Linked DNA regions of Caenorhabditis elegans. The protein of the gene in region 3 purifies or fractionates together with the protein of the main gene of each other region. This does not show direct contact. Each region holds a gene or a part of one and is shown on either strand. Other genes may lie near its edges. The genes, in order: C04A11.2, nhr-202 and slt-1.

Region 1 (10,408 bases), 1.0 Mb from region 3:
AAACTCATAGAGGAGGTTTGCACATAATTTTCAAAGAAACTGCAAGATATTCTAAACAATTATTGGGGAAGTAAATCATGTATTTACACAGAAAAGTGCATTTTTAATGGCTTCAAAATTCAATTTCCTTTTTTTTGGATAATCGAACATTTAAAAACCGTTTTTTTAAATGACAATAAATGTCACAGAATAAAAAAGGTTTTATTCTCTAAAAACGAGAAAATTGTGCGTTTCAAGTTAATCTGCTGTTGACCCAAGAACAGACGATCTACCTGGTCACTACGTAATTTCCATTCCGACAATCACTCTATTTTCCTGCATTCCTCTCCATTGATCATTCTATAAATACTTGTTTCACCTTGAAAATATAACTGAGAATCAGTACATAACCGGTTGAATGACATCTTGTTGTTCCGAATCATACAAAGAAATAGCTGGTTATCACGTTTCTCGTGACTTTTAAAGATGATATTATTCTAGGGAAAGAACACTTTGCAGTTCTCAATACGTCTTCGAGAGAGATGCTGTGATACTACACTTTTTTTGGCATATTGCTACTGGCATTTAGGCCATTTACAGTTTCCGAATATTAATGTGCCTAAGAAAGCATTGCACAAAAATTGAAAATGAAATTTTTTAATCCATTGAATAGCCATTTCTAATTTATAAATACCCATAAAATTTTGATCTAAAAAATTTAGTTGGCAGACCTTGAATTATTTTCCTGGAAAGCATAAAAAGTGAGATTGCGCAACGATTTCACAATCACATTCACTAACTTTATAAACCGAGAAACAAACTTTTTGCAGCACTCCATTATGAAACTTATCCGTTTTCTTGACTCTGGTTTTTTTATCTTTGAAATTTTGTTTAAGCATTGGAAAATTGAACATATTGAAGTTCAACATTTTTTATTCCAAGATGACATGAATTTGTGGGTGTTTTGTTGATATCTACCGTTTTAAATTTTTTTTAACTTTTAACAATGCCAACCCAACAAAAGATTATAAGAATTCCAATACAATAGGCATTGTTATATTTATTCAACGTTTCCGAGATATATATGCTTTACTGACGAAAGCTTGACAAAATGTTTTCAAACTTTATGCCTTGTCACTTTCAAGATTAATATTATACTTTATTTTTCAGATTGGCAATGAGTTTTTCGAAAAAAGAAAGTAAGTTTCAAAAAGCGTGGTTTATTTATTCAGTGTATGTTTTCAGGTGACTTTCAAAAAGTGTATCAGAAACTGCAAGAGCAACAAAACGAGGAAAAGCAGTTGTTCATGAAGCAAAACTACGAAAAGTTGCCTTCGTGGTCTCGTCACGAAGTTTCATCTGGAATACTTGGTTCGCAACATGCAACCTCAGGTAAAAATCTATAGGAGTTGGAGAACTGTTACCGTACCTATCTTGAAAGTAGCACGCAAGATTTTTTTCGACTTATAGTTTGAAAGACAATTTTAGTAGTGCAGACGGTATCTGAAATTTAGCTTCGCGCAGCTGAAGGTGCAACTAACTTTTTGCACCACAAAAAATACAGCCAATTCAGAATTGTAGAAAATCCAAATGACAAATAACTTTTAGGTGTGCTTGAAGGTCTGTGCAAAAAAGTTCAGCAACATTTTGATGAGGATCGGGAGAAGTTTATGAAGGAGAACGCAGATAAGGTGTCATCGTGGTCGAAATGAGCGAAATGGTAGGCAGGTCAATTTTAAATTGATTTAACACCTTTTCATTATTTTTCAGATCAATGAACCAATCAACCGACAACTTCTAATAATTTTCAACTATTAAGAATCAAAGATTGCTTGAAATACATGTATTCATCAAAGTTTTAAAAATGCTCTTATATCATGATAACAAATACAATATTTTGGACGGTAATAATGTTTGGAGTGTTGCAGGAAATTATTGACAATAAAGTTTCCAAATATTTGCAATACCACTTTTTTTTTCGAACGCCTAAAATTGTATTTGGTACTATTTCACCCGTCTTCATCTTACGTGTACCACATGTTATGCCCTCTCCCCTTCCTTTCTCTCCTCTCGCTGTCTCTCTCTCTCTGCCGTTACTCTTGCATGTGTACGAGGCCACTAGTATACTCTTTCGTAGCACGGATGGCCGAGTGGTCTAAGGCGCCAGACTCAAGCGATTGCTTGCCTCAAGTACGAGGTCTCCTGGGTGTTCTGGTACTCGTATGGGTGCGTGGGTTCGAATCCCACTTCGTGCAGATATTTTTGCAGTTTTGGTGGAACGGTCAGGAATTTGGTCAGGAACGTTAGTTGACAGAAACAACAAGTTAAAACTGTTTTCTTGTTTTATAGAGTTTGAAATAATCATGTTAGAATAACCATAACATTTTATTTGCTTTTTTCGGATTCTTAATTTAGCATGTTCCTCAATAAAACAAAGCAATAATAAAAACCGCCAAAATTTCATTTCAGTTGGGGGTTCTATCTGTAACATAACATTATAATCATACAGCTTTGTATTTTCAGCTCATTATTTTTCAATAAATGCATTTTGTTTCATTAAAAAATCAAATAATCATAACTATTGTTGTTATTACAAAATATGCTAAAAGCTGGAATGTACAACACTTTTTAATGAGATCAAAATGGCACAGAACATTTTCAATTTACAGGACAATACATTTTTGATTCGAAGCAGTTATTGGTGATATCGTGATCGAGAAGTGGATCTTGCTCTCTGAAATGTTTCAACCATTTGGCAAAGGAAAAATTGTGAACAACCTACCAAACTATGCGTTTGTGCAATGATTCTATTGGCCTTTCTATCAACATTGGCAATTCTTTGATGAATTCGGTTTTGGTAAGATTGGGATTTTCGAATATTTCTGAAAATTGGGATTTTTTTGTTTTGAGATAATTGTTCTCAAAAAACATACTTCATTGTCATCTCCTTCATATCTTCCTCATAAAAAGCTTTGACTGCCGTTGAATCAGCAAAGAGCTCTCTGCTAACACTTTCTACACTCCTTTGTCCACTGGCCACTGCTCTAGCTGCGAGCTAAAAATAATTGTCTTCGATTTGAAAAAAAAAAAAAAAAAACGTATCCAAAGACTTTTCAAGAAGTGCACTCACTCGTTTTCGATGCTCGATTTCTGCTCGTTTCTCAGACGCAGCTCGAATAATGCTTTGCCGGGCTTCGACGCGTTCGATGAATTCTGGGCGATTTCGTTCGAGATGAATTCGTGGCGGGCACGCTCGAGCCCACTGATCATCCTTCATTGGGGAAATGTTGAGATGCTCGATTGCTGCTTCACTGCGTGTGCGGTGGTATTCTAAAGTTAAGAATTAACTTGAAACTGTGTATGATTTTTCTGATATCACTGGTATCACTGCTGATATCACTGACATTCATTCTCCATAAGGTGTAACAAATATTTTAATTTTTTGCCCTACACCTTATTTGAGGTCTCACTTTCCAAAATAACCAGTCAAATCAATATTCAATCTCAAGTTTGCCAATTACGCCACTTACGGTTAACTTCAGGCTGCTCCTCATTACGATCTTCATTATTACTTTCTTCATCCACAAATAGCCTTCGTCTAGACTGTGATCTTCTAGAATTGTTAGCTGTTAATTGTCTTGGAAGTGTTTGTGATTGGTATCTTGCTGGACGCGAACGAGTTCCAATCGGCTCAGATTGAGGCACTCGGATCGTTGGAGGAAGTCTGGACCGGTGATTTGAAGAGGTTCCGGGCTGAAAATAAATTATTAAATAAATATAGGAGTAAGTCTGTTCAATTTTACAAAAACGTAGTCTAACTGTACGATTGTATAACATCTAAAAATCAAAAAGCTTAGTTTATGCAGGAACAGCAAAACAAATTATTTATGCAACTTGTCTAATTATTCCCATTTTGCCTGAACTTTATAAGTTTGCTTTTTATGTTGTAAAACTAACGGTCACTTGTGCTGCTGGGGATACGTTGCTGGAGCTTGTCCTATTTGTGACTGGCCTCACGTTTCTCGTCATATTTGGTGTTCCAGTAGGTGTTCTGTTTCCTGATGCAGCTCTAGTAGATGTTCTAGCAGACCTTGGCGTTGTTAGTTGTTGCAAAATATTTCTGACGACTGGAGTTGAGGTACTACTACTTGTGCTCGTACTGCCACTGGATGCCATATCTCGTTTGGTGGGCGTTACTCTCTGGACGCGTGTGCTGCTTTTTGTGACGCTACTCGCTGTTGACCCATTTCCATGTTGAGATTCAGAAGAATCCATTTCACTTGTTCTGAAAAAAAAACAATATTTTTTGAGAGACATTCTTGTTCACTACATACGAGTTGAGAGATTTCTTGAGAACTTGAATATATTGTGCCTGTTTTTCAACAGTTTTTCGAAGCTCCTGAACTTCCAACTTTAATTCTCTGCAGGTGCGACATGAAATGTGTAAGCTTTGCGTTGAATTGCACAAATCTGAAAATACTCTAACTAAGCCGTGTTTCACTTTTGGAGAGCCTACTTCTGTTTTCATCCTGCTCAGTATCCACAACAATAGTAGTGACATTTGGTTCTTCCGGACCTCTGCAATTATTATGTCAGTGTTGTATGTGCATAAATCAACGGAAAAGTAAAAATGAAAAAAAAAAGTAAAAAAAGTAACCTATGAGATCGAGGAGTTTTCAACGGAGTAGATGTGGATGGTAGGGGTCCAATACGTTGTTCAGTGGTTTTGTAGGAGCTCCTGAAATTATAATTAAAATTGACAATGAAGTATTTAAAAAATCACCTTAACTTTTTATACTGTTTAGCTTACGTTTGAGAACATATTATTTTAGCATGTTTAGATAATTTTCGTTACTCGACACATTTTTAGAAGTTAATTTTTAAACGAAAACGTGATGTATATTTTTGAATTCTCCGACTGACATGGCCTGGAAAATATCGATTATGTGCCGAAAACGTATAGTTTGAAATTGATTTTCTAAAAACGTCGTTCAATTTATTTAGTAAAAATAAGATTATAAAACATGAATTTCATTTTGATGGCGATTCGAAGGAAATAAGAGCTGTGACACGAGCTCAACCAAAATAAAGTTAAAAGTTACATGGAAAAATTATAATTATTGTCATATTGTATGCGTTTGATGTGTTTTTATTTTTTATTTTTTGTAAACTTTTTATTTTAGAAAACGTTTAGAATATTATCATTCTGAAATATAAAACAATTCTAAAAGTTAATAAACTTAAAACATACCAAAGTGTCATTGAGTCATTTGGATTCATATTTGATCCGTAAGCCGAGTCAACTGAACTGGTATCCGGGAAGTGAATTGAGATAGAAAAGGACGACAGGTGCGGTGCACTGGAAGGCGGTCTTGTGTCCTTGGTCCGAGCAGACGCTACCTATTAGCTCCTAAATACGTAATAGACTGTGTGAAACCGAGAGAGCACGGAGAAAATGAAATGAGGCAAGGAATACCAACAAACCAATTAGAACAGTGTCCTAATGCTAGGCTTGGATTTGAAATGGATAAAGGAAGAAGGTAAATGTGCAAAACAAGAACCGGCAAAACAAATTTGAAACCTGACAATTCAATAATGAATTCAATAATGTATACGACAATATTAATAGGTTTTTACAAGTTAAGGACCCTTTACGGCTAGCTAAAGAAAAACACACTCCAAAAACTTTGTCAACAAAGGAAATCCGGTGTGGATTTTGTTGATTTCAAAGTTCCCGATTCAGAGAAAAATTTTTGAAATTGAATACGGGATTGAAAAAAAAACAATTTTTCTTGAAAATATCAATAGCATATGAAACAAGAACGACCAAATTTAAACGCATCTAGTGCAAATATTCAGTCTTGATTTTGTGGAAAAATATCAAACTTGACTGTATCGTTAACAAGGTATGTTAGACTTTTTTTTTAAAATTACCTAGAAACTTACTAATTGACACAAAAGAAAAATCTTGTCAAATTTTAAATATATATTATTTTTCAGTAATATCATTTCTAACTCTTGCATAATGTTTTTTTTTGAAACCCTTTTCAAAAAATATTTCTAACTAACGCTATCCTTCTTTTCTCAAACAAAAGGCACTAGATTTACTATTCTCGTTTCGTGTTCAACGGAAAACATATTTTCAAGTATTATTTAAACAACGTTGAACTATGAAACTAGTTCAATTTTGACACAAAACACAAAAAAAATCAATAAATATCACAGTGAAGACAAGAAATATCTAGTGTGAGATAAGAAACTTGTTTTGTAACAAAAAAGTTTATTCCCCTTCTAAAATTTTATTAATAACCAAAAAACTTAATTGTGCTCTTTGGAGCCGACCCTATTTAAATGCACAACTCTGCCGCTGCCAAGGTCCGCAAACACACCACATGAGAATTGCGTACTATTCATTCAAATACGCCCTCCCTCCTTCTTTCTACTATCTCTTTTCACTGTTCACCTTTGTTTACCCTTTTTCGCCACGTTTGCTCTGCGCCCCTTGTCGCACTGACCATTTCGCTTGTTTTTCGACATTTTATCGATTTTTTGCGTAATGTTATTAGTGGCATTCTTGGAGTTCTTTTGGTGATAAGAAAATTGACGATCTCTAGGCCTGTTAGATTTGAACTGTACGTTGTGGAAATAAAAAAGTTCTGCTCCGGTAGGCAAAAACATGTTTCTTCAAAAAAATAGTTATTGTTTGTATATTCAAAACATTGGAAATTTCAAAAACCCGTTGTAAAATTTGAATAATCAGGGAACCATTTAGGAAATTAATGAAACTCCCGGAACGTTTCTTAGAATTTTAAATTTGCGATTTCTTTTTTTTTCAAGCCTGAAAGTCATTATTCAAAATGTAGAATGAGAACTTGAATTTTATTTTTTTTACGTTCTAAACACTTTTTCTTTATGATTTTCTATCAGTTTTTCTTCTTAAAAAATTGTATAATTGTATGAAATTGTTCTTCATATTGGCACTGCCCCTGCCCAATTCGCAAAACAAGTCAAATTTGACAAATGAAAGGTACGACTCCGAAAAATGTGTCATTTTGCTCCATGTTTCTGTTAGACTTGTTGACACTTATTTATTATTTTTTTGAAAAAAAAAATATCCGACACCTTCAGTATTACACCGAATCAACTCTAACAAATTTCTATTGTATGCCTTGTTAATAACCATAAAAAATGGACATATCTACTGGAAACATCTGATTTTGCCGAACGGAAATCTTTGATAAAGTTGAACTTCATACTTGTTGTTTTTTCTTTTGAAATCTCTCTTTTTTCTTCTGAAAACGTCTGTCTCAACTTTTTCAAACAAAAAGTGAAGTTCGCCAAGAACATTTCACTTTTAATCTTTTCTTAACTACTCATTGAACAGATGATCGCTGAATACATGTTGTTTGGTTATTGAAAACAACGCCCCTCTTCTCCACTTGAATTATTTCACAATTGACAGGTTTAGTTCCGCGATCTTTTGAACCTATTGAATAAGTCCGAGATGGTTAGACATTTCATAACTTTTTTCATTTTTTTTCATTTAACATTTCTGCAACCCACATGTGTTGGTTGATGGGTTTGGTGGTTGCAATGCATAAAATATGCCGAAATCTTCCTCCCACTGGCTATCTAGTTTGTCCTCTTCATCATACTTTTGCCATCTTCTGATGAATTACATCGCTCTTCAACTTCCGACATGTTCGTTTTGCCCTTTTCCCCCTGACGATGAACCCATCATTTCTCCCCACTCTCTCTTTTTTTGCTTGAGATGACAACAGCTGTTTCTGCTGGGCGCATGCGATGAATGTATTGAAATATATCAAATACATAGTGGACCATTTCTTTCAATTCACCGCACCGCAATTCATTTTTCATTCCTCCTCTTTTTCGATTTGATTCCTTCTTTTTTAACCTTTCGTCTCTTTTGACTTAAGATTAATGAGCTTTAATTTTTGCAATTGGAACTAGGATTTTATTAACAAATTCCGGTATTTCTTTCTCGTCAATACTTTTTTAATTTTCAAATATTAAAACTTAGAAAAACAAGTTTCACATTACTATGTATAATTATATGATGATAAAATAGTATAGTGGAAACATAAAAAGTCAAAAATGGCAATTACCCAGTTTTCTCCTATAAAAAATTTCTCAAAAGCCCAACTTTTTTCTTCCTCTTTTCTGGCAAATGCTGACTGTAAATTTGAAAAACTAAAATATCGTAAAGTGTCTTACTTGGATAATTTGTTTTTTGCACATTTTTTAAGTTAAACTATTTCATGATTGAGGCTTGATTGGGCTTAAGCTGGAGCTTAATCTTTCTAATAAAATTGAGTTTGCATTTAAAATTGTAGTCTTGCACTCAAAATTACATAATCAACAATGCGATATTTGTGCTTTCGGTTAGCCATTTTTCAGAATTACAGTAGTTGAGTATTAAAATGACCCCAGAGCTATTTTTTCAACCAGCATTTCTATTCTACTTTTGACAAGACAACATTTTTAATTTTTAAAAATTCCTAGGATTTAATAAATTGTAAACAGCATTATTTTGGTGTCCCCTAATTTTTTACAGTCTCAAAAAACAATTTTTACGTCGTCAATAAATTGAGATTATGTGTCTAAGCGTAGATGATGAAAGTTAAAAAATGTATTTTTCCTTGCCGCCACCTGTTTTCAACTGAAAATATGCAGCTGTCAAAATTTTTTCCATATACAAGTAATAACATTTTTCATTTCCAAAGGATTGCCCCATTGAACCTAGCACTAGATTAAGGGCAAGGGTAGAAAGGCCACAGGACGAAACATGCTTCTTCGTTTGTTTTATGGATAATCGTTAAGTTTTCCACGACCAAACACATTGCCAGTCCTAACTTTTTTGTGTTTTTCTGCTCTTTTGTCGTAGTGGCAAAAAATCAGATTTTTTGCTTTTTGTTCTATGTTTGTATGGGAAAAGTTGCAAAAAACATTTTACTGAAAGTGTATATACCTTAATGAACAAAAAATATGCGAACTAGAATACTGATATATACAGATTGAACATTCTAAGGTAAATGCTATTTTTTTCATTGGGAGTTTTATTCATCACATTTCTGAGAATGTAAGCAAAAATCCGAGATCTGTCCAATTAAAATTTTTTATTGGCTGTGGTACGGTGCTAATTTTTTGCATACTAGTATAGTTTTCCAGATGAGAATTTCCTGTTCAGTTTTCACGCCATTTCCATCCTAACGTACAGTTTTGAAGCGATTGATAGATTATTCAAATAGTAGTATTTGGGCATGTGTTGCCGCAATGCCATCTTCCATCATGTTCAACAATTGTGGTAGTCAAAGGAAGACGCAGACGACGTATTGCGTCGAAATGATGATCGAGTTGATATCAGTTGTATTTCCTCTTATTATACCCGCCGTGTCCCTTTCCTCCACCCACACTCTCTCTCTCTACTTTTACGACTGTACTTTTCGGTTTGATGCCGGCACTGATACGTTTGACGCAGGGACGAGTACCTAGTCAACTTGATCCGTTTAATTCTTATTTGTTGTGAGAGAGAGTTTTTTTTGTTGTTTGAGTTGTCCTGTTCTTTTTTGTTCGGTAAAGTGGATGTGATGCGCTGATTTTTGTTGTTGTGGTTGTCATTTCCAAAGGTTTTTGTTCTCTCGGAACTTTGTGAGACTCATTTTTCACAGCTGTTCGGTTATGTGAACTGACCTGCAAAACGGAAGTCGCTTTTTTTTTAAGATGTCGCAAAAATTTCACTACACAGCTGGCGGTAACTCTTAAAGCTTTTCAATATTTTTTTACTAATGTTAATCAAATAATATGTCCCTAGTAGTAAACATTTTTGTTTAACTGGAGTAAACTGTCCTGAAAAAATACTTGGCCAATTGCCAATTTTTGATTTGAGCAAAAATTTCAATTTTTAAGTCACTTAGTTTTATTTTTACAATCAAAAGTGAATAGGTATTTAAAAGTTTCACGACCACTACTTATTTATAACTTCCTCTCTAATAAAACTTTTGAATTTATACAAGTGAGCCATATATTTTTAGTATTGCGGGCAGTTGATGGCTGTTATAACTGGTCCATGTTGATTTTCCAGTATTTTTTATACTTTAAACGTACCACGAGTCATGATGTTTTATCAAAAATTTAGCATGGTTTATCAGCTTAATAATTTATTTCCCTAACCATGCACATATCGCTTAACGCCGAGTCTAATTATTTACCTAATTTCTGTCAAATTCGCCCTCTCCGCAGCACTTGCGTGCACTTTTTCTTGTCATTATTTCACGTTTGTTCCACTCTCTGCCAATAATTCCAGTCGTTTACCGGCTTTGCACCTGTTACTCACCTTTCCTCTTTACTTCTCCTCCTCTCTACCCCCACCACCCACCGTTCGACTAATTCCTTGTTATGTACCGTACAA
Region 2 (9,946 bases), on a different chromosome or scaffold from region 3:
GACTGGCGTATTCTGAAATTTTTTTAGTGATTCTCAAATATGTCATATCTAAAACCCAAGTGACCAAGGTACAAAAGGGTATTTTCTCGGAATTTCTTTTTCAAATTTGATTATATGACGGAAGTAGTTTTCAAAACAGCTAGACATCACATGGATTCAAAAATTGTAGTTACGGTGAAAAAACTAAATAATAAGCAGTTAGCTCCCGTACTTTTTTCCCTTTACGATCATTTCTGATCTTTCTGATTAGGCGTCATTCGTTTTAATTCCATAGTATTTTTCCATCTTATAAAATAAAGCATTTCAGAATCTCTTGTGATTTGTGATGTTTTTGCTTGAAATAACCAATGTTCTTCTTTCTTTAATATTTTGTGTTCTTGTGAGCATTGTGTATTTTTACATTTTGTTTCTGATATTCATAGCGAAAAAAGTTTCGTTAAAACCTGATTTGAAGCTTATCTACTGCAGATTTGTTGCTGAGATATTTTTTCATTTTGTTGGTAAGTTACAAAAAGTTGGTGGGAAATTCAAACTATTTTTTTAAAAATTCGAAAAATATCGTGTTTTTTAATTCAGGTGAAAATTTTGATTTTTTCAGTTGTCCTGAACAAGTTGTATTCAATTGTTGGCCTTGTTTCCACCACGATGTTTGTCAAAAATCTTATCTTTTACCTGATATGGCTCTCATTAGTTATGGGTACTATTAAAACTACAATTGTTTTCTTCATTACCATAGACCGAGTTTTTGCATTCTTTTCTCCGATTTTCTACCACAAACATCGGAACAAAATCTCAATGTATTTGGTTTTATTTTTCATATCATTATTTGTATTTTTTGACCAATTCATGCTATTCGGCTACTGTGGGAACGTAATTGACGTTCCAGTGAACTGCGAGAATTTCCAGTGTACGGTAAATCAATGTTACCTACAATATTGGATGGTTCATGAGCAAGTGGTATTTTTTGTAATTAGCAGTTTATCCACTATTTTGTTCGTTCGACTTTTTGTCTGCAATTTTTTGGTGTTCAATCAAAGTAGCAAGTTGATTTCAAAAGTTAGAAAATAGAAATATTGCAAGACCTGTACTCTTTAATAAATTTATTTCAGGCCACCCAAATCGCACTTCTTGACTGCATTATTATCATCATTTTCAATTTTCTACCGGTACTTGTATTGGCGTATTTTCCATCAATTAATTTGAAAACTGGAATAACTGCGATCCCGAGAACCGGTGGATCTTTGTTTGAATCGATTATAATTTTTAGAATTATCGCTAGACAGAAATCTGTGGCGCCGACTTTTGTGTCACCAGTGTAGATGTTCTACTCGGGTGAAGCTTAACGGGGCGCTCCCGAAACACGGCTAATAGTAAAGATAAAAGGATCAAATAATTCATAAAACATTTTTTCTAAAATGCAACAATTCTCTATATCCACAATAAAAATATTATTTTAAAAAATTATACAGTGAAAAATAGAGATCGAATAAAAATTGTTATTTAATAAAGTCACTTATTCGTATTCAAAAAATAATTCCGGGTGCGAGTATTTAGCGAAACACACTTTGAACACTTTCATCAGCTCCATCTTGGTTTTATCATGTAGCAAAAATAGCTGTATAGCATTAATGAGCTTCATAATAGCGGCAATTCTCCCCGAATAATTCGGACGGCTCATATGGTTCAAATAATATTCGTGTAGATGATTTGATATGGAGTCTTGAAGTTGTTCTACTATTTCCACATTGTGCTTCGGACAATGTTTCATATAATGTTGAAAGCTTAAATAGCATAGCATAAAGCTCAATTCCTCGTCGGTTGGGTTGAGGGCTACAATCTGCTGAACTAGTTGTTCGTGACGTTCTTTGAAGTTGCAGTCGAAGCTGGAAATTTTTAATTTTTTAGTTTTAGGTTAATTTTGGGAGCAACTATTGGAAATCCGTAATTTCAAACATGAAAACATGAAACTTACAAATCCAATTGCTCAAGTTTATAATTCGAACACCATGATATATCAACTTCAATCGTCTTCTTAAACGCCACTAATTCATTGTCCACGTGAAGTACAAATGCAAAGTCTTCATACATCATTTGTCTTCTAGTTTTTCCCAGTGCTGCAAGCTTCTCCAATCCACTCCAAACAAGCCATTCTTTTTTTACAATGTCCAGCTGTATATTCAACAAATTATCATTATTGAAAAAATAATAATCTTACCTGCAATTGACTGGGAAGTTTTTGAAAATCATCAAAATAGGAGAACCATTTTGCAGTTTTCAGCACATCGTCCTCCCATATTGCGAAAGTCTCATCTTTCCCGAATTTTTCCATAACTTTTGTTGGTTTCTCCTGAGCACTGTGAAGATTTTGTAGCCCAATCGCAAGCCTTTTCAGTGCATTTGGAGTTTTAATTGGCGTTTCGGGACCCTGAAATATCAGTTTTTTGTGAAAAACTAAAAAAAAAGCTTCCTACCTTCAAAAGCTGCCTGTACGCAGTGTCAATGAGAAATCGAACATCAATGTGAACTTCCGTTGGAGAGTCATCAAAAGATGGAGCGGTGAACATTATGAGACTGGACCGGCCGAGGAAGGTGTCTAGGGTCTGGAAATGATTGAATTTCTAGGCTGCACTATCACGTCACAGCCCATTGACCATTTTTGCCAAGTGCTAAAAATTCTTCAAAAACTTACCTGTGGTATGTTCCGAATAACTTTCAAAGCCGCCTGCATTTCAAGCTTCTGCTTATACGGGTCCCTCTCAAATTGAAAATCTGAAAATAAAAACTGCTGAGACGTATACCAACAAATTCTACTGACTATCAATTTTCATCCCAATATCAAAACACCGTTGTAATCTACACTTTTTACAGCTCACATATCCATTTTTATCAAAATTGCAAACATTGTTCTTTTTACATGGTTTGAGATTGTTTGAAGCTCCGAATCTTCTGAAATTTATGAGCTGACTAGGGGATGCTTTACAAATTAAGAGTTCACCTGAAAAATACTGCACAAGCTCTGCATGTAAATGCTCCGAAATGCATGCCATGAGCAGGCTTCCAGCAAACTGGACATTTTTCTATTGTTGAAAGAGTGAGGTCTGGGGGTGAAGATGAGCAAGGATTGTTCATTTTCTGAAAATTAAATTTTTTTTTTCAAATGACAAAAAAATTAAGAAAGCATTAACATGAGTTTTTAACAAAATAAAAAATTTCTTCAAATGACCCATCTAAAAACACATAAATCTCTCAAATCCAAATACTCTCGGACATAATTTCACTAATAACAGGAGTGCGAAACCATGTGGTTCTAATCGAATAAGGTCATCGTCTCCGTCATTCAACTCATCAAAACACAGACGCATTCAAAAGAAAGTACATTGATTCTTTGGTCTCTTCCCCACATGTTTGCAATTGCCGACTTTTCTCGGGTATTCTGCGGGTGTTATAATGGACCTGGTAGTATTTACACAGCTTACTTGCTTTAGGGGGAATATCCTAAAGTGCTGGGGAACAAAATAAAATATTCAGGTTTTTTTAGAAAAAAAATCGGATTTTCCATAAATGAGCTGAAATTTTTGATGCTGAAAATAACAAAATGACACATGAAAATTTTAAAAATCCAAAAATCCAAAAAAAAAAAGTTTCAAAACTATTTTGAGATTTTGTGTATGTTTAAAAATAATGTCAACGAACAAGAACAATTACATTTTTCCAAACAAATTTTCTTTCAGAAACGAAAAATCTAAATAATATTTTTTGAAAAGTTTAACGATTCAAAAAAAATAGATAACGTCATTTTTCAAAGTAATTAAAACAAGCACCTCCGATTTTAAAAAAAGTTGTAAAGGTAGTTCCGAGCATATGACGAGAAATTTAAAAGAAGACGCAGACTCTACGAGAAATGTCTGATGTGGAATAATATAGTGTAGTTTGTAGTGCAAACAATAGGTGCGAAGAGCACTTGGTACTTTAGAAAAAGAGCAAAAATGTGCCAAGAATATAGGTGTTTATTTACAGATTATGAATTCGTTATTGGTAGTTCATAAATAATTCCGGATGGGAAAAGTTTACAAAAAACACTTCGAACACTTTCAAAATCTCCACATTTATTTGGTCTTGGTAGATGAATTGCTGGAAATTTCAGAGTTTTTTCCAGACAAGGTTTAATATAAAATACCTGAGCAATACTATTAAGCTTCATCAAAGCAGCAATCCTTCCGGAATAATTCGGGCGGGACAAATGGTTCAAGTAATAGTCGTGTAAATGATTTGATATAGAATCTTGAAATTGCTCAACGGCTTCAAGTATTTGCCCGTCACATTGTTTGCTAATTTGTTGGAAACACAAATGACATAGCATGTAACAAAGTTCCTCATCTGTTGGGTTGAGTTGTACCATCAATTCCAGCAGCTCTTCATGTTTGTTCCAATTTGAATCGATGCTGAAAAAATAGTAAGAGAGTAATGTTTTTCGAAAAGTTCGTAAAACAAAATTGATGAATTTTCAAGTCTTACGTTTTTAAGTTGGTGAGTTGTAGAGTGAAATTGGATTTTTCAAAAACATTTTTAAATTGGCCGCCAAATTGAGACTAAACTAAAAATTCGGGTAATTTTTTTCAGTCAATTTTTTCGGTTAATTCAATTTTATAAATTAAGTTTCAGCTAATTTTCAGAACAAAATCAAAATTTCAAGTTTGTATTACTCTAAACATATTTCTAGAAGTTTCCTGATTATTGTAGGAAACTCTAGAAGTTTCCAGAAAAATCTAAAATTTTCCAGATTTTTCTAGAAATTTCAAGATTTTTCTGGAAAGACCCGCTAACAACTTTTCTCAGAAATTTTAATTTTTTCGCCAAAATTGTATTCTTAGAAAATTTTCAGTTTCCTGCCGAAATATTTTTCTTTTGATGCGTCTCGCCACGATGGGACTCGCAACGATGAGTCTCGCCACAAATGGAGAGGCTCCGCCCATTGATGACGTAGTCAACAGACGTACACTATTTTTTAATATATAGGCAATGATTTAATTTTTTTAAAATAATGCTCACAATGCAAACTGCTCCGCTTTGTAATTTGAGCACCAAGATAAGTCGAACTCTACCGACTTCCCACAAGCCACTAGATCATTTTCCATTTGTAATACCATAAGAATATCATCACAATTCATCCGCTTTCTCATTTTGGCGGTAGTTGCCAGCTTTTCCAAACCATTCCAGACAATCCAAACTTTTTTAATAATCTCTATCTAAATATTTTTATTTATTTTTATTTTTATAAATAAAAAAATATTTTTATTGTAATTTGTACACAAAACATTGCAAAATTTTTAAACTTTACCTGAAATTCCGAAGAAAACTGTTGAAAATCTTCAAAGTAGGTGAACCACTTGGCAACTTTCAGCATATCATTTTCCCACATTGCAAACATTTCATCTTTTCCGAATTTTTCTAGCCGTTTCGTTACTTTTCTCTGAGACCCCCGGACTTGCTGTAAACCCAAAGCCAGCTTTTTCAAAATATTCGACGTTTGAATAGGTGTTTCAATGCCCTGAAGTACACAACTTTAGTTAAAGCTTGTACTAGCTGGAAATATCTTGCCTTTAGTAACTCCCCGTAGGACTTGTCAATCAAAAATTTGACATCGATATAGACCTTGGGATTTTGTGCATCTTTTGGTGGAGCAGTGAGAATTATAAAGCTTGGTCGAGCAAGGAATGTTTCAAGCGTCTGGAAATTGTATGTGCATGGCCCGACCTTGAGTTTGGGTTTTTGATGGTGAGGCGTGGAACCCGGAGGATGTCGGGCCACTTATTTCAGTCTCAATAACAATTTTCCGTTTTTTTATAAGACAACTTACCGGTGGAATTCTTCCAGCTAGACTGATGCATATTGAACTTCTCTTGTATGGGTCCCTTTCGAATTGAAAGTCTGAAAAAAACTAGTACTAATAGGGAGCCAGATCCCTTACTCTCAATTTTCATCCCAATTTCGAAGCATTTTTTTAATCGACACTTTTTACAGCTCACATATCCATTTTTGTAAAAATCGCAAACATTGTTCTTTTTACATGGCTTGAGATTGTTTGAAGCTCCGAATCTCCTGGAATTTTGTAAAATATTGTTAAAATATTAGAATTAGAAATTTACCTGAAAAACACCGCACAAGCTCGACAGGTGTACGCTCCGAAATGAATCCCATGGGGCGGCTTATAGCAAACCGGGCACTTTTTAGTGGTAGAAATGGTGAGGTCCGGTGGTGAGGAGCCGGATGAGCAAGGGGTATCCATTTTGTTTTCCTGGAATATGTATTTTTAATGTATTGTTTCAGCATAAATTAACCAGCGTAAAAATCAAATAAAGACATTTTCAAATCGGTGTAACCATATGATGAAAAAATTATTTGTTGAACTTTGAAGAGAGCGCAGAGAAAATGGAAGGACAAAACGCGTATTTTGTAGTGTATGTGTGGGTGCCCTACAGTTTGAAAGATCAAAGAGTATAATAATAGGAAAAAGTGACCTAATAAAAATTTTTGTCGACTTTAATGTAAAAAGTGGCATCACTATCTTCTAAATGCTCAAGAAACATAGGGTTTTAAATTTAAAAATAATGGTTTATTTATAGTTTGTAGTTTTTGTAGTTTGTAGTGCGTGATTATTTTTGAGCAAAACCCTTCATTTTTTAAAAACATTTTACAGAAATTTCAGCGCAAGGTTCAACGTTCTCAATTAATTTTCAGCAAAATTGAAGTTTTCGAAAAATTTGTAATTTTTTTTCAAAAATAGCTCGGCGAGAGCTGACGCAAAATTCAAAATTTTCAAACAATTCGGCGCGAAACTTAGACTTCAATATTTTTTCTGAAATTTACCGCGGAAATCTAATTTTTTCAAAAAAATAATTTTGGAATTCCTGAATTATGTCCAATATAGTATTATATTTTCACGCAAAATTCAAAATTTTATTCTATTTAAAATCCAGAGTTAAATTCAAATTAAAATATTTTATTCGTCGTTTTGCCGTAATAATAAAGCATGTTGAGATACAAACAAATGATTTTTTTTTAGAAAAAAAAAACATAATTTTTTGAGATCTTCCGCACTTCCATTGACTACCAATAATCCACAAATAATTCAGGATTTGAATACTCCACGAATAACACTTTGAACAGTCTCATCAGTTCACATTTCAGTCGTTCCCGCTGGACGTACTTCTGAAATTTCAAAAAAAGGTTAATTTTAGAATTCATAGAACAAAAAACCTGAAAAGCATTGTTGAGCTTTATCATTGAAACGATCCTTCCTGAGTAAGTCGGGCGGTTTTCATGGTTTATGTAGTAGTCATGTAAATGATCAGAAAGGGTGTCTTGAAGCTGCTCAACGGTTTCTTGAGTAAACCTGTCACATGATTTTTTGATATGTTCGAAGCAAATATGGCATAGCATATAACTGAGTTCTTCGTCTGTTGGATTGAGATCTACCATTAGTTGCACTAAATATTCGAGCTGAGCTTGATGGTCAAAGTCGAAGCTGAAAATGTTATTATCGTTGATCTCCGGGTATATGATAAGAAGCAGCCGACATTTATCGCAAGCCTCGATCGATGTCGGCCGCTGTGGATTCCAAAACTCACAACTGCAACTGCTCGGTTTTATAACTCGAGCACCAGGAAAGATCGATCTCGATCGACTGTTCACAGGCCACCAAATCATCGTCAATCTGAAGCACAACATTCGCACTTTCGCATGTGGAATTTTTTTTAGCATTTGCAGTATTTGCCAGCTTTTCCATTGCCGCCCAAATAGCCCAGACTTGCTTGATCATATCGATCTGCAAAAGTTTTTTTTTTCATTAGTATAAGTTTGATCTACCGGCACAAACCTGAAGATTATATGGAAGTTTCTGGAAATTGTCGAAATATGTGAACCATTTTGCAATCTTCAACATATCAGTTTCCCACATTGCAAGAACTTCGTCCTTCCCGAATTTTGACAGGATTTTTGTCACATTGCACTGAGTACTGCGAATTTTTTCCAGGCCTAGAGCCAGTTTTTTCAAGATGTTCGGTTGTCTGATAGGTGATTCGCAGCCCTGGAATATCGATTTTTCTTTGTTTCCGGGAGCATGGCAATAAGTTCTTGTTGTGGTCGGTATAAAAGTATTGGGGGAAGTTCAAATTTTCGAGGAAAATTTTGGCGGGAAAGACAATTTTTATGAAAAAAAATTTGCCGCGAAATTCAAATTTTATAAGAAAAAAATGTTTGACGGGAAGTTCAAATTTTGTAAGAAATACATTTTTGGCGGAAATTCAATTTCTCTTATTGTTGGAATAAAAAATGTTTGGCGGGAAATTCAATTTCTCTGAGAAAAACATTTTTGGCGGAAAATTCAAATTATCTATTAAAGCAGGAATATTTTTGGAACTCTTGATTACCTGTAAAAGCTCCCTGAACGCTCGATCAATTAAAAATTGAACGTCAACGTAGACTTTCGAGTCTCGTGAGTCAAGTTCTGCAAGAGCTGTGAAAATGATCAAACTGGGCCTGTCAAGGTAGGTGTCCAAAGTCTGGAAAAATGTTTTTCCAAGAAAAATAAAATTAGAAATCAGTGGCCAAGTTTTTCCTGGCCTAGAACATCCTGGCCTAAAAAAATTCGACGGCCAACTTACAAATGGAATTTTTCCGCTTTTATAGGGATCCCTCTCAAATTGGAAATCTGAAAAAATAACTTATTGCTCTTTCATACAAACTTTTTTTGAGCATACTGTCAATTTTCATTCCAATATCAAAACATCTCTGTAGTCGGCACTTTTTGCAACTCGTATATCCATTTTTGGTAAACTCACAAACATTGCTCTTTTTGCAGGGTTTAAGATTTTTTGTAGTAGCGAAACGTCTGAAATTTTTCTATTATATTACACTTTCTGATCATTTTATTGCGCACAGGCTCACCTGAAAAAAGCTGCACAAGCTCGACAAGTGAATGCTCCAAAGTGCATTCCGTGTGCTGTGTGTTTCCAGCAAACCGGGCATTTTTCCGATACGGCAACTATGAGATCGGGAAAAGATGAGCTAGATGAGCACAAGGCATTCATGTATGAAAAGTTAGTTTTTTTGGAAAGTTTAAAAAATTGAAAACAAAAAGTAAAAGAAATGTGTCAGAGACTAGCGAGACGATGATATCACGTGTTTGCACTTTTGATCTATGAAAATTTGCTCACAATCATTAACTGAATAGTTCAGTGGAGAGACAGAATGTGTATGTTGTAGTGAGCACGTAAATTTTAGAGATTAGAAATTGAAGTTTTTCCGAACAAAAACTGATACAGGTTTAGATAAGAAAGGGGACTTTCTGCAAGGAACTGAGCGCGCGGGTTCTCACAATTTTTTGAAGATATTTTAACATTCCAAAAAATTGAAATTTTTGTTTGAAAATTCACAAAATTAACTTGATATAAAGAAGAATCAGAATAAACAAATAAAAGTTTAATCGAGTATTTTTTTACACAAAAAATGGGTAAAAATTTCTTTACACTTTAGAAATACTTTGGGAACATGTACTTGAACGTAGACAATTCTAAAAATAATTTTGTCAAATTTAGAATGAAAAATTAAATGTTGGGTATTGGCGTGTCTACGACCCATGTCACCCACATACGACTGAACTCACTAACTAAGTTGTCAATTCCTGATTATTAGTTTAGTAATGTAATAACCTACTCGTCTTTTCCTCCTCGTCCAGTCTTAAGTACACAACATTAACTAACAAAAATTGCAATCAGTGTTTAGTTTAAATTTAAAATGGGCTGAAATAAATGAATTTCGTAATGAAACTTGAAATTCATAACATTTTAAGCGGTTCCAAATGTAGCAAAAATTACATTGATTTTAGCCAAAATCTCCAATTTTGTCCACTTTTCTGTGTCGCAGCGGTCCGAAGTTGACTTTGTTG
Region 3 (9,924 bases):
TTCCGCGCGCCACTGTGTTAAACTCGCAGTGGGCGTGGTGTCCCGCCAGTCGCGAGGAAATTATAGTGACGCGCGGAACTCGGTTGATGTCGGCGGTTGATATTGGTTGGGGTTTCGATTTTCGTGATTTTCAGACAAAAAGGCCGGACTTATATTGGGCGTACACGCAACGTAGTTTTTATTATTATTTAGAGTGTACAATTCTCTCTTCCGGTCAAGGATTAGTTTTTAAACCTAAAGTACCAAAATCTTACACGGGCTTTGTTTGTAAGAACTCAAAAAAGTTCCATAACATTATGTTATTTATTGTAAAATTAATGTTTGAAAAAACAAAAAATTTGTAAATTACCTGTAAGAGCCATTAATTGGAATACACTTTCCATTATTCTCGCATGGATTCAACTTTTTAGTGCAGTACTCCAGTTTATCCTCGCAGTGTTTCCCTTCGTACTCCATTGGGCAGTCACAACGATAAGAATTTATCTGAAAACTTTGAAAATTCTTCAGTTCCTCCGAACAAAATCTTACCAAATCTACACATTTCCCTCCATTTTCACACTTGGAGTTCACACAGTCGTCAATATTTTTCTCGCAATAATCTCCTTCGAATCCTTTGTTACAATAACAGTTGAAGCGACCAGCTTGTGCAACTTTGCATGTTGCATTGTTTAAGCATGGTGAGCCGTAACAAGCATCGATTTGGTTTTCGCAATGAACACCATAGAATCCAGGAGTACAATTGCATGTGTATTTTCTGCTGCTCGTTGTTTCACAGATGGCATTGTTTTTGCATGGAGAATTGAGACAAAGATCGCATTTTGTTGCAAGTTTTGTTGGAACTTTTGAATCGCATCTTGAAGATAATTAGTTCGAAAAAAAAAATATATATACTAAGTTACTTACGTAAACTGATAGGGTTGTGCAGTTAGCAGAAGTTGATTAGAAACCGTATTTGGGTATTCACATCTTGCAATTCCAGCTTCAATAAATTTAGATTTGATCCATTTTGAGAACCATGCCATATTGCAGTCGCAATAAAGCGAATTGCTACCAACGGCTCTAAAATTCTCAGATTACAAAGACGGAAAATCAAAGAAAAAAAAGATTTACATGTGAGTGATACTAGTCAGATTTGAGAATGCGGATTGCGGCAGGAATGAGATATCGTTACCATGAAGGGAAAGAATGCGAAGAGCGTTCAATCCATTGAAAGCAAGAGGTTGCAAGCACTGGAAATTATTCATTATTTGTGTTGGTCTTGAAAATATCTCAATGATGGTTTGAATTTTCTGAATTGAAAAAAAAACTAAATATAATGAACATGAAATCTCAAAAATTGAACAACATATACTCGTATTTAAATTGTCAATAACAATTTATCATAAATTTTGTAATTTTGTAAAATTTTGTAATCAAACTGATAAGAAATATAGAAGCTTTCACATATAATTCAAAAACTTTGCCGCCAGCAGGGGTCGAACCTGCGACCTTGGGCTTATTAGACCCACGCTCTAACCGACTGAGCTATGGCGGCTGTTGAGAAAAGTAGCTAATCAGGTTGAAAAGAGATACGTGATGGTATAAAAGTTATAATAGGTAAAGAAGGAGTAGTGGATGGTGGCAAAATATTGACAATCTGTTCGGTCCGAAAAATTGGGGATGTACCGAAAATTTTATTCCGCTGAAAAATAAAACAATCAAAATATGCAAACTAAATTTGTTTCTTGCTCGTAAATTTGAAATTCCACTACTTTCAGCCACTTTTGCTTTTTCATACTGTGAGTTCCATTAATTTTCCCATATCCACTACCCCTTCTTTTAGTTATTTTTTGACTCACCCTCAGTTTGTTGTAGCTTATGATCAAAGTTGATAACCGAGTCAAATTGGAGAACGTATTATTTTCCAGAGATATGAGTCGATTGTGTGAAAGATCTCTGAAACTCTCTACGTTCCCGCTACCCTCAATCAATCAACTTACAGCTTAGTAAGAGAATACAACCGGTTCAGATCATGAGCTGGGATTTCATTGATATAATTGGCATCAAGATAAAGCTCTGTAGTGTCGAATGGTATTCTACTCGGGAAACTGGTGAGATTTTTGTTTGAGCACCGGACGACACGATCCAAACAGGAGCATTTTGGTGGGCAAAGGTTACTGTCATCAGAGCATGTCTCTTCGGGGAATGCTGAATTGTAAATTCTTCGATTCAGTTTGTATAAAACAAAATGTGATACCTGCACACCGTTGCTTATCTGACTCATTATCGCTGTATTGAAATTGCTGGCATGGTGGAATGTCGATTGAATGACTAGAGTTTGATCGAAGCCAAGACATTAACGGAAGGATTCGGCAATCACAAAGCAAGTCGTTACCGATTACTTTACTGAAAACGTAGCATTACGTACATACCCTTTTAAAATTTAAAACTCACATTTCTCTAATACGGGTAGCTTTGTTGAAAAATATAGAAGAGAAGCATTGAATGTTATTTCCTGATAAGTCTCTGAGAAAATGAAACATGGTTAACTTTTGTAGTACTTTTCGCTGCCTCAACTTACAATATTTCCAAATTTGATTGCTCATCCAAAACCATACTTGAAAAATGGTGTAGTTTATTGTCATTTAGTCTTCTGAAAAATTTTATTTTTGAAAAATTGGAAATAGGAAAACACTTACAGTTCTCTCAACTTAGAAAGTTTTTCGAAACTCTTGTCGTTGATGAATGTGATGTGATTGTTTGACAAATCTAGAACTTCCAGGTTTTCTAGGACATGGATGTTAGAATTGAGATCGACGGTAGAGATATTGTTTCCAGATAAGAGGAGTTGTGTTGCAAAGCGGGGAATTGAAGTTGGAATAGTGTTAAGTCCACGCTTGCTGAAATTCGAGCGAGTAAATGTCAATTTTTGTATATTTAGGTACTTACTTGCAATCAACAGTTGTACCATAGCAATCACATTGAGTCGGACAAATTGAGTCGATAAAACAAGAGTCGGCGTACATGCTGACAAATGACTCGGAACCTGGAAATTGAGTTATATTGGATTCATTGTTTCCGAAATTCAAGGAAATAATTTGAAGTATTTTCCGGTGGTAGGACTGTTTGCTGGTTTACTAGAGATTCCGCAACATCTCAACTTTTGGGAAAATTTGTAGTCAGTTAAAAACTTTTTTTCAACGTAGGAGCTACGTTGAAATTTCAGATTGGCTACATGTGCAGTAAATGCAATATGCTCAAAAACTGGGTGCGAAACTTTGGTCAAACTTTGGGCTTTCATAGGAAGCATGAGCGGTTTCAGAGCCTGACGCCTGCCTCCAACCTGCAAACCTCACGTCAAAGGCTTGGTGTTTGCACCACATATGGCGAAAGGCGGTTCTTTCAAAGCGGCCGACAGTTTTCGGGTTTCGCGCAGAGTTATACAGGAGGCAAGGAAGGTGTTTTCGCGCCTGCATAAAAGCCTTGTTCAAAGCTTTGTGGCAAACTGTGTAGATTAGCGGTATTCTACGGGTTTATTTCATTTGTCTTATCTAATTGCGCAGATTCTGTTTAACTTTTTCAGGAAGCAACGCTCCTGCTTTTGATCTCACCTTTGCATTTGAACTTATTTGGCGGTAAAGTTGCAAATTTCTTTTTTCTCAGCCGTTTGGGTTGTTCACATCTTGCTCCACTTGTTTCAATATTCTTCTGTAAATTTATTTGCGCCAGCCATTGCAAATTGCAATCACAAATCAGTGGATTCTTGGCAAGATGCAGTGTACTCAAGCTGGTAAGATTTTGAAATGTTACTTCACTGATTGACTTGATATCGTTATCATATAATGACAACATGCTCAACTTCGGGACATGGTCAAATGTTCCCCTCCGAATGCACGTCAATTGATTGGCATTGAGGAGTAATAATTGTAAACTTCCAAGTCCCTCGAAAGTATCCGATTTCAAGTCGGTTATATTATTCCCGTAGAGCACTCTGGAATACAATTTGATGAGTTCGAACAAAAGTGACACCAATGAACTCACAATGTGTGCAGATTGTGAAGACCGAGAAACGCTTTCGGTTGGATTTCAGTGATTATATTTTTGCTCAGATCTCTGAAATCAGAAAGATGCAAAAACTGAAGACGCTAGATGAAAATAAACTTACAGTCGTGTCAAGTTCTTCAGATTTTTGAAGGAGTGAGAGGGAATTGATGAAATCTGATTTTGTTCGAGTCTTCTGAAACAAAAGAAAAATTTTCAGAACATTTTTTGACACTTCTTGGCACTCTTGGAAAGTTTACAGGTTCTCTTTTTGTTGTTGAGTCAATGTTTTTTTTTCTAAGACAATTAAATAGATAATATTGTTAACTTCCTAGAAATACGTTGTCTTGATGTAGTTTTAAGTTTTAAGAACGACGCTCAAAAACTTTAAGAGATTCTGCAACTTCTAACCAGATTAACAGCAACTTTTCGAAATTTTTAATTAAACGTAAAGCTATTTTCTTTAGAAAAAGTACTTTAAATTGGAATTTTTGAGCAATATGAATTTTGTAAATTTTCAAAAAAAAAAGCGTCACACATCTCTGATACTTTCAACACTTTAAAACAAAAATCACGGGAGGCTTCACAAAATAAAACCAAAAATTTCCCTATTTCATGTATAAGTTAACCTATTCAATTCATTTGAAAAAAATTTACAAGAACTTACATTTCTGTGGTAGACGGTGGAAGGTTTGTTGGTACGTATGTCAACCCGGAATCCCGACAATCTACAGTCGTTCCAGTGCACGTGCATGGTAGTGGACAAATTTCCGCAGTTTCGCAGGTTTTCTTATATCTACGTTTTCGGTTTCCGGAACACGTCATAAACTGAAAATTTGGAAAATATTTAACAACGTTTTTTTCCTTCAAAGTTAAAATTTACCTTGTCTTGGAGAATTTCTATCGAGGACCCTTGCAAGTTGAGTGGAGTTGCACAAACTGTTTTATTCTGCCCCTCTGCTTTTTCTAGCCATTTTCGCATCCATCTCAAACGGCAATCGCAATTCCAAGGATTATTGAAAAGGTCCCTTAAAAGCAAACTTCTTTAAACATTCTATGGTATGCTCTTTTTTGAAAACAAAAACAAGCAACTTACAATTGTCGGAATCTTGCATTTGAGGGCTCTTCAAATGTTGTTAATCGGTTTCCATTCAGTGTAAGTACTTCTAGAGACACCCAAGAAGAAATCACATTGTTCTCAAGACTAAAAGAAGAGAAAGGAAAATAGAATAGCCGGATTGAAAAAAACTTACCAGAAGATATGATTTTTATCCAAGTTCAAGACTTCCAAAAATTCAGGACCTTGTAGTTGTGCGTCAGAAACCACTGTTATGTCATTTTCACTCAAGTCTCTGAAAATGAAAATAATAACTAATTTGATTTTTTTTTGAAGAATAAACGTACAAGTGAGTAAGTTTCAGATTGTTCTGAAACACGTTATCTGGTAAATGGCGTATACGATTTCTGCTTAATCGCCTGAAAACTAGAGTTTATTGGTTTTCAAGACTACGAAACTTACAGCTTTTGAAGAAATACCAGAGAACTAAAACTTTGATTGTGAATAGTGACAATTTGATTGTCCATAAGTTGTCTGAAATTTAATATTTAATTGAAAAAAAACGGGTTGTTTTGTTTTATTTACTGTACTTCAAAGTGAAGGGCTGTGTTCTTGTTGCAAATATGAACCGACAAAAATATCGCAAAAATTGCTCTATTGAAATTGCGCCAAAAAAATTAATTTGAAGCCATGATGTTATACTAGACGTTAGTTGAGTTTTTTTCAGTTTTCCCAAACAAGATCTGATCTTAGGGATATTATCTCAAGTGTTCAAATGGTTCAACTTTAAAATTCGAGTGGTTTTAGGCTGTCCTATCACGGTTTGATCTACAAAAAATGCTGGAAATTTTGGCCCACAAAAAGTGACGTCAGAACGTTCTTAACCATGCGAAATCTGTTGAGAACCCTGCGTATCAACTCCCAACTAGACCTACGTAGATCAAACCAAAAAGGGACACTCTGACACCAAGTGAAACTTACAAAGCTTTTAAATTCATAAGACTGCTGAAATCGTTCGGTCCGATTTTGGTTATTTCATTGTCTTGTAGATCTCTGTAAACAACATTTATAATTTTTTCAACCATGGCAAACTAACAATCTAATTGTATCATTCGGGATATTTTGTGGAACTTCTGTGAGTTGTTGGCCAACACACGACACAGTTCGGTCCACGCACACGCATTCTGCCGGACACGTGGCACTTTCAGGTATAAGTAGAATAAATATGAAGCAAATCAGCATTCCGACATCCACAAATCCTTGGGGACAATGAAATTAGTAGTTCAGTTCTGCAAAATGAAGTTTAGACAAGTGGCGGGTGGTCCACTAATGTTTTATGAGATGTTTGTCTTGTCCTCCCATCCTGCCGGTCCATTAACACAACCTCGTGGAGACACGATTTATGTGTGGAATGGCGGTGGTTGTGAGGGAAAAAAGAGTTGGGATAGGGGTGGGTACGGACACGAAAACTTTCCGGGAAGGGTAGAAAAAGAGAAGCAGCAGAAAACTAGAAAGAGCGAATGTTTTAGTGTGATAATGAGACATTGGGATAGAAGACAAGTCCCACTTTCGTGCATCTTCCACACACCACTTAAACCAACACAAATGACAGATAAAAGAAGAGTTGTAGACTTGTGTGTGTGTGTGTGTGTGTGTGCCGGATGAGAATGAGAATGAAATGGGGTAGGCGGGTGACATTGAACACAATGATGATAAAGAGATTCTGTTCTCGTGTCTCGGAGCAAAACAATTGGATGGATGAGATAGCTATACTGATGGGTGTGTATACTAACTATTACCATGTGCACTTATTTAATATTCATCGGGAATGATAAAGTAGATGAGGAAGGGAAAATGTGCGAGGGTTCACACATTGGTTAGTCGTCTTAATACTTTATTAATCTCGTTGTTTGGATAATTAGCGAGAGAAACACAAGCGATATTGGGGGATTCAAAATTGTTTTAAAGGTGGAGTACCGAAATTTGAGACTTTGCTTTTTTAGACCAAAAGACTCCGAAACTACCAAATTTCGTAATGAGATGTTCAGAATGTTTTTCAAAAGAAAGTTATGGCCGCTTAAAGTGTTGAAAAAAAATGGTATATTTTTCAGCTAAAATCTCAAATTTTGGCAACTTTTTAGTTCGTTTATTGGGATGCTTTTTCGGTCGATGCGGGCACAAAATTGTATCATATTTGTGCCCGCATTGACCGAAAAACCATCCCAATTGACATAATTAAGGTAATTAATTGCGAAGACCTACACTAAAAAATGATCAACAAATAAAAATTAAGTTCCAGCCGCTGTGACACCGAAAAGTTGATAAAAGTTGAGATTTTAGCTGAAAATAGACACTTTTTTTCAAAAACGTTGAGCGGCCATAACAAAGTCTCAGATTTCGGTACTCCACATATAAAGAAAGGTACATGTAGTGCATGGCCGTGCTCCAAAAATATGAACTTTTGAGGAAATCCAAAGCAATGCCGCATGTTCAGATCCCTACAATGTTTTAATGCGAATAATTAAAACAAAATTATTATATAAAAAATGTAGAAAAAAAATTTTTTTTTGGTCGACTTCCAAAATTATGAGTGGCAAAAACTGTTTATTGTCATTTTATGACAGTAAATAAAAAAATTCAAAAAAAAACAATTTGAACATTTTTATTATAATATTTGGTCGTTTTGGGACCATAGGAATGGTTTTTAACAACTTCCCCACTGGCACTACATCACCTTTAAATACCTAACCTAACATTATGAATTACTCTTCATTTTTAATAAAAATTAATGGAAATATTAAATTTACGGTTCCTACCTAAATAAATGTTAAGGTATTTTTTCTCAGTAGTGCCATTTTAAGAAAAACAACAACCACTCATCAAAGTAACAGAACACATTTGGGAGAACAAAAAATAAGGGCGCGCTGCTTCATTTTTCCTATATAAATTGTCTCATATTACACGTTTGTTGAAAAGAGCTTTTGTTACTATTGCGAGAAAAAAATTGTAAAAGAAAAATTGTCAGTTCAGAGTGTTGTGGTTAGAAAAAAAATTGTGCAAAGGTATAAGAATAATGAATATATTTTAATTTTTTTAAACATCCAGAACAAGTGAAAAATAAACAAGTTGCAGTATATGTAATTGGGCAAATTAACATTTGCAAGAATTATGCACATTCTTCCAAATACCGTATTTCCTCTATTAGTATTGCACCCATTGTTTAACTTTTACAGCTCATATCTCAGTTATCGTTTGTTCAATTCAAAAATTGGTAACTATCAAAATATTTGTTTGTTTTTTTCTATTCTTTCGTAGTTTATAATGTATTTATATCTTTAAAATCAACCGAGATATAACGTTTCAAAGTTAAGTAGTCGGATGCAATACTAATAGAGGAAATACGGTAATAGATTTCTTTCAGTTTGTTGCATAGAGATTTTGAACGAAATATTGTTTAAGAAATTGTATACGGAGGGATCTAAGCATATACCTACTTCTATGTTTTAATTGATTTTCTCATTAACCGAAATTTAAAAAAAACATGCAAAAAAAGAGCTTCAAAATTAAGATAATACCTTCATACTGAATTTATAAAAAACCTTTTTTAAAATTTCAAGTTGAAAACCATTGAAAACTGTACTCACAAATTTTGAGCGAAACTCAACCGATTTGCATATTTTACGTGTATACTTTCCGTTCGCATCCCCAGAGTTTCTGATTCACTCGTGCCGCCAAACATAGTCAAACACCATCTAACATATATCAAAGAGTTCGAGAAATCAATAAAACTTGAGTAAACATGAAAGTAATCAAATACAATATGTAATGAAATGAAACGTTTTGTGTGAAAACTAAAGTTTCGAAAATGCTGCCCTATGGTCTCAATGAGTGCCCCCCCCCCCCCTCCTCCTCTCTTCAGTGTTTACTGTACGTCTGTGTTCATTCATCCGAGAACACTAAACGATTCTCACTGTACATAACCTACTCGGCGTAAGTTTCGATAATGGGCCCCCCGGAATCTATTATGTGCCTATTGCGGATGATGCTGTGTTAAACTGTCATGTACATTGTATGGTAAATACTGGTTAATCCTTGAATCGGTTTTGTCGTTTTTGAATGGATGTCCTTGTAACATATTATGAGAGATTGTGACTTGATTTTCGATTAATAGCTATGAAAATTTGAAGAAAAAATCTTTAATGATATAATTCATTTTCTATGTATCACAATTTGAAGCTAATACGATATTCTAATACAATACTCATATGTCATGTTTCATGTTTATACTGGCAGTATGGTGATTTTTCGCAAAAAAATCAGTTTGGCGAGTTTGGAGAGAAAGCACTTGGTTGGGTAGAAAGGGTGTTACACTTCATTCGGTCCAGCTTCCGGAATAACTGAAATTAATTTTTTTAATTCAGTAGCGATATTTTGTAATGCTTCAAAAACACAAAATGGCCCAAAAAGCCAAGCTGCCAACGTTATAGGTTTTAGCTAAACCTGAACTTTTATTTTTAAAAAATTGAGCTGGCAAGAACCTTTTTCTAGACTAATTCAAATCTATTCACGTTATGAATGTTTCGGCCATTCCGCCTTTGAATGGATTTTTTCACAGAATAGTTCTCTTCCGATTTTCAAAAAATGACTATTTTGGTCAATCTTTTTTTTTTTTTTTTTTTCGAAAGTTAAAGTACCAATATCCAAACTTTCGAAACAAACCTGTTCCAGAACACCCTTCTTCTTCAAATAAAACACAACTATTATAACAAATAGGAATAATGCTACAAACGAAGCTAACAGCACTTCACGCAGCTTCTCCTCGTTTACAAGCGTCCTGTCGAATGATA

The links.
Region 1: the proteins of slt-1 (region 3) and C04A11.2 fractionate together in Caenorhabditis elegans (co-fractionation; one large-scale study listed by BioGRID). This does not show direct contact.
Region 2: the proteins of slt-1 (region 3) and nhr-202 fractionate together in Caenorhabditis elegans (co-fractionation; one large-scale study listed by BioGRID). This does not show direct contact.

What each region holds. Positions count from the first base shown.
Region 1 is NC_003284.9:13,663,440-13,673,847, forward strand, and holds C04A11.2 (uncharacterized protein), read right to left. Parts: upstream 5,390-10,408; 5' UTR 5,260-5,389; coding exon 5,231-5,259; intron 4,718-5,230; coding exon 4,637-4,717; intron 4,558-4,636; coding exon 4,496-4,557; intron 4,450-4,495; coding exon 4,314-4,449; intron 4,265-4,313; coding exon 3,937-4,264; intron 3,733-3,936; coding exon 3,510-3,732; intron 3,310-3,509; coding exon 3,110-3,309; intron 3,035-3,109; coding exon 2,913-3,034; intron 2,862-2,912; coding exon 2,762-2,861; intron 2,714-2,761; coding exon 2,675-2,713; 3' UTR 2,519-2,674; downstream 1-2,518. Other genes in the region: C04A11.5 (Oligoendopeptidase F), read left to right, coding at 1,157-1,178, 1,225-1,371, 1,588-1,691.
Region 2 is NC_003283.11:458,940-468,885, reverse strand, and holds nhr-202 (Nuclear Hormone Receptor family), read right to left. Parts: upstream 6,299-9,946; 5' UTR 6,287-6,298; coding exon 6,147-6,286; intron 6,100-6,146; coding exon 5,969-6,099; intron 5,929-5,968; coding exon 5,858-5,928; intron 5,728-5,857; coding exon 5,599-5,727; intron 5,549-5,598; coding exon 5,339-5,548; intron 5,247-5,338; coding exon 5,050-5,246; intron 4,443-5,049; coding exon 4,178-4,442; intron 4,132-4,177; coding exon 4,030-4,131; 3' UTR 3,923-4,029; downstream 1-3,922. Other genes in the region: srbc-57 (G-protein coupled receptors family 1 profile domain-containing protein), read left to right, coding at 326-500, 599-1,056, 1,110-1,319; nhr-201 (Nuclear Hormone Receptor family), read right to left, coding at 1,514-1,883, 1,973-2,169, 2,216-2,425, 2,472-2,600, 2,690-2,769, 2,816-2,946, 2,996-3,129; nhr-203 (Nuclear Hormone Receptor family), read right to left, coding at 7,108-7,209, 7,258-7,525, 7,629-7,825, 7,877-8,086, 8,430-8,561, 8,664-8,710, 8,760-8,890, 8,947-9,089.
Region 3 is NC_003284.9:14,670,770-14,680,693, reverse strand, and holds the start of slt-1 (Slit homolog 1 protein), read right to left. Parts: upstream 6,367-9,924; 5' UTR 6,320-6,366; coding exon 6,174-6,319; intron 6,131-6,173; coding exon 6,059-6,130; intron 5,612-6,058; coding exon 5,540-5,611; intron 5,497-5,539; coding exon 5,425-5,496; intron 5,373-5,424; coding exon 5,274-5,372; intron 5,225-5,273; coding exon 5,117-5,224; intron 5,049-5,116; coding exon 4,904-5,048; intron 4,849-4,903; coding exon 4,688-4,848; intron 4,217-4,687; coding exon 4,145-4,216; intron 4,093-4,144; coding exon 4,021-4,092; intron 3,971-4,020; coding exon 3,591-3,970; intron 3,026-3,590; coding exon 2,929-3,025; intron 2,880-2,928; coding exon 2,679-2,879; intron 2,633-2,678; coding exon 2,561-2,632; intron 2,506-2,560; coding exon 2,434-2,505; intron 2,386-2,433; coding exon 2,237-2,385; intron 2,188-2,236; coding exon 1,980-2,187; intron 1,936-1,979; coding exon 1,839-1,935; intron 1,540-1,838; exon of another isoform or gene 1,459-1,539; intron 1,230-1,458; and 8 more. Other genes in the region: C26G2.2 (Hyphal_reg_CWP domain-containing protein), read right to left, coding at 9,394-9,474, 9,797-9,924. UniProt on the Caenorhabditis elegans protein: Functions as a ligand for sax-3 receptor during larval development. Acts via the sax-3/Robo receptor to direct ventral axon guidance and guidance at the midline during embryonic development.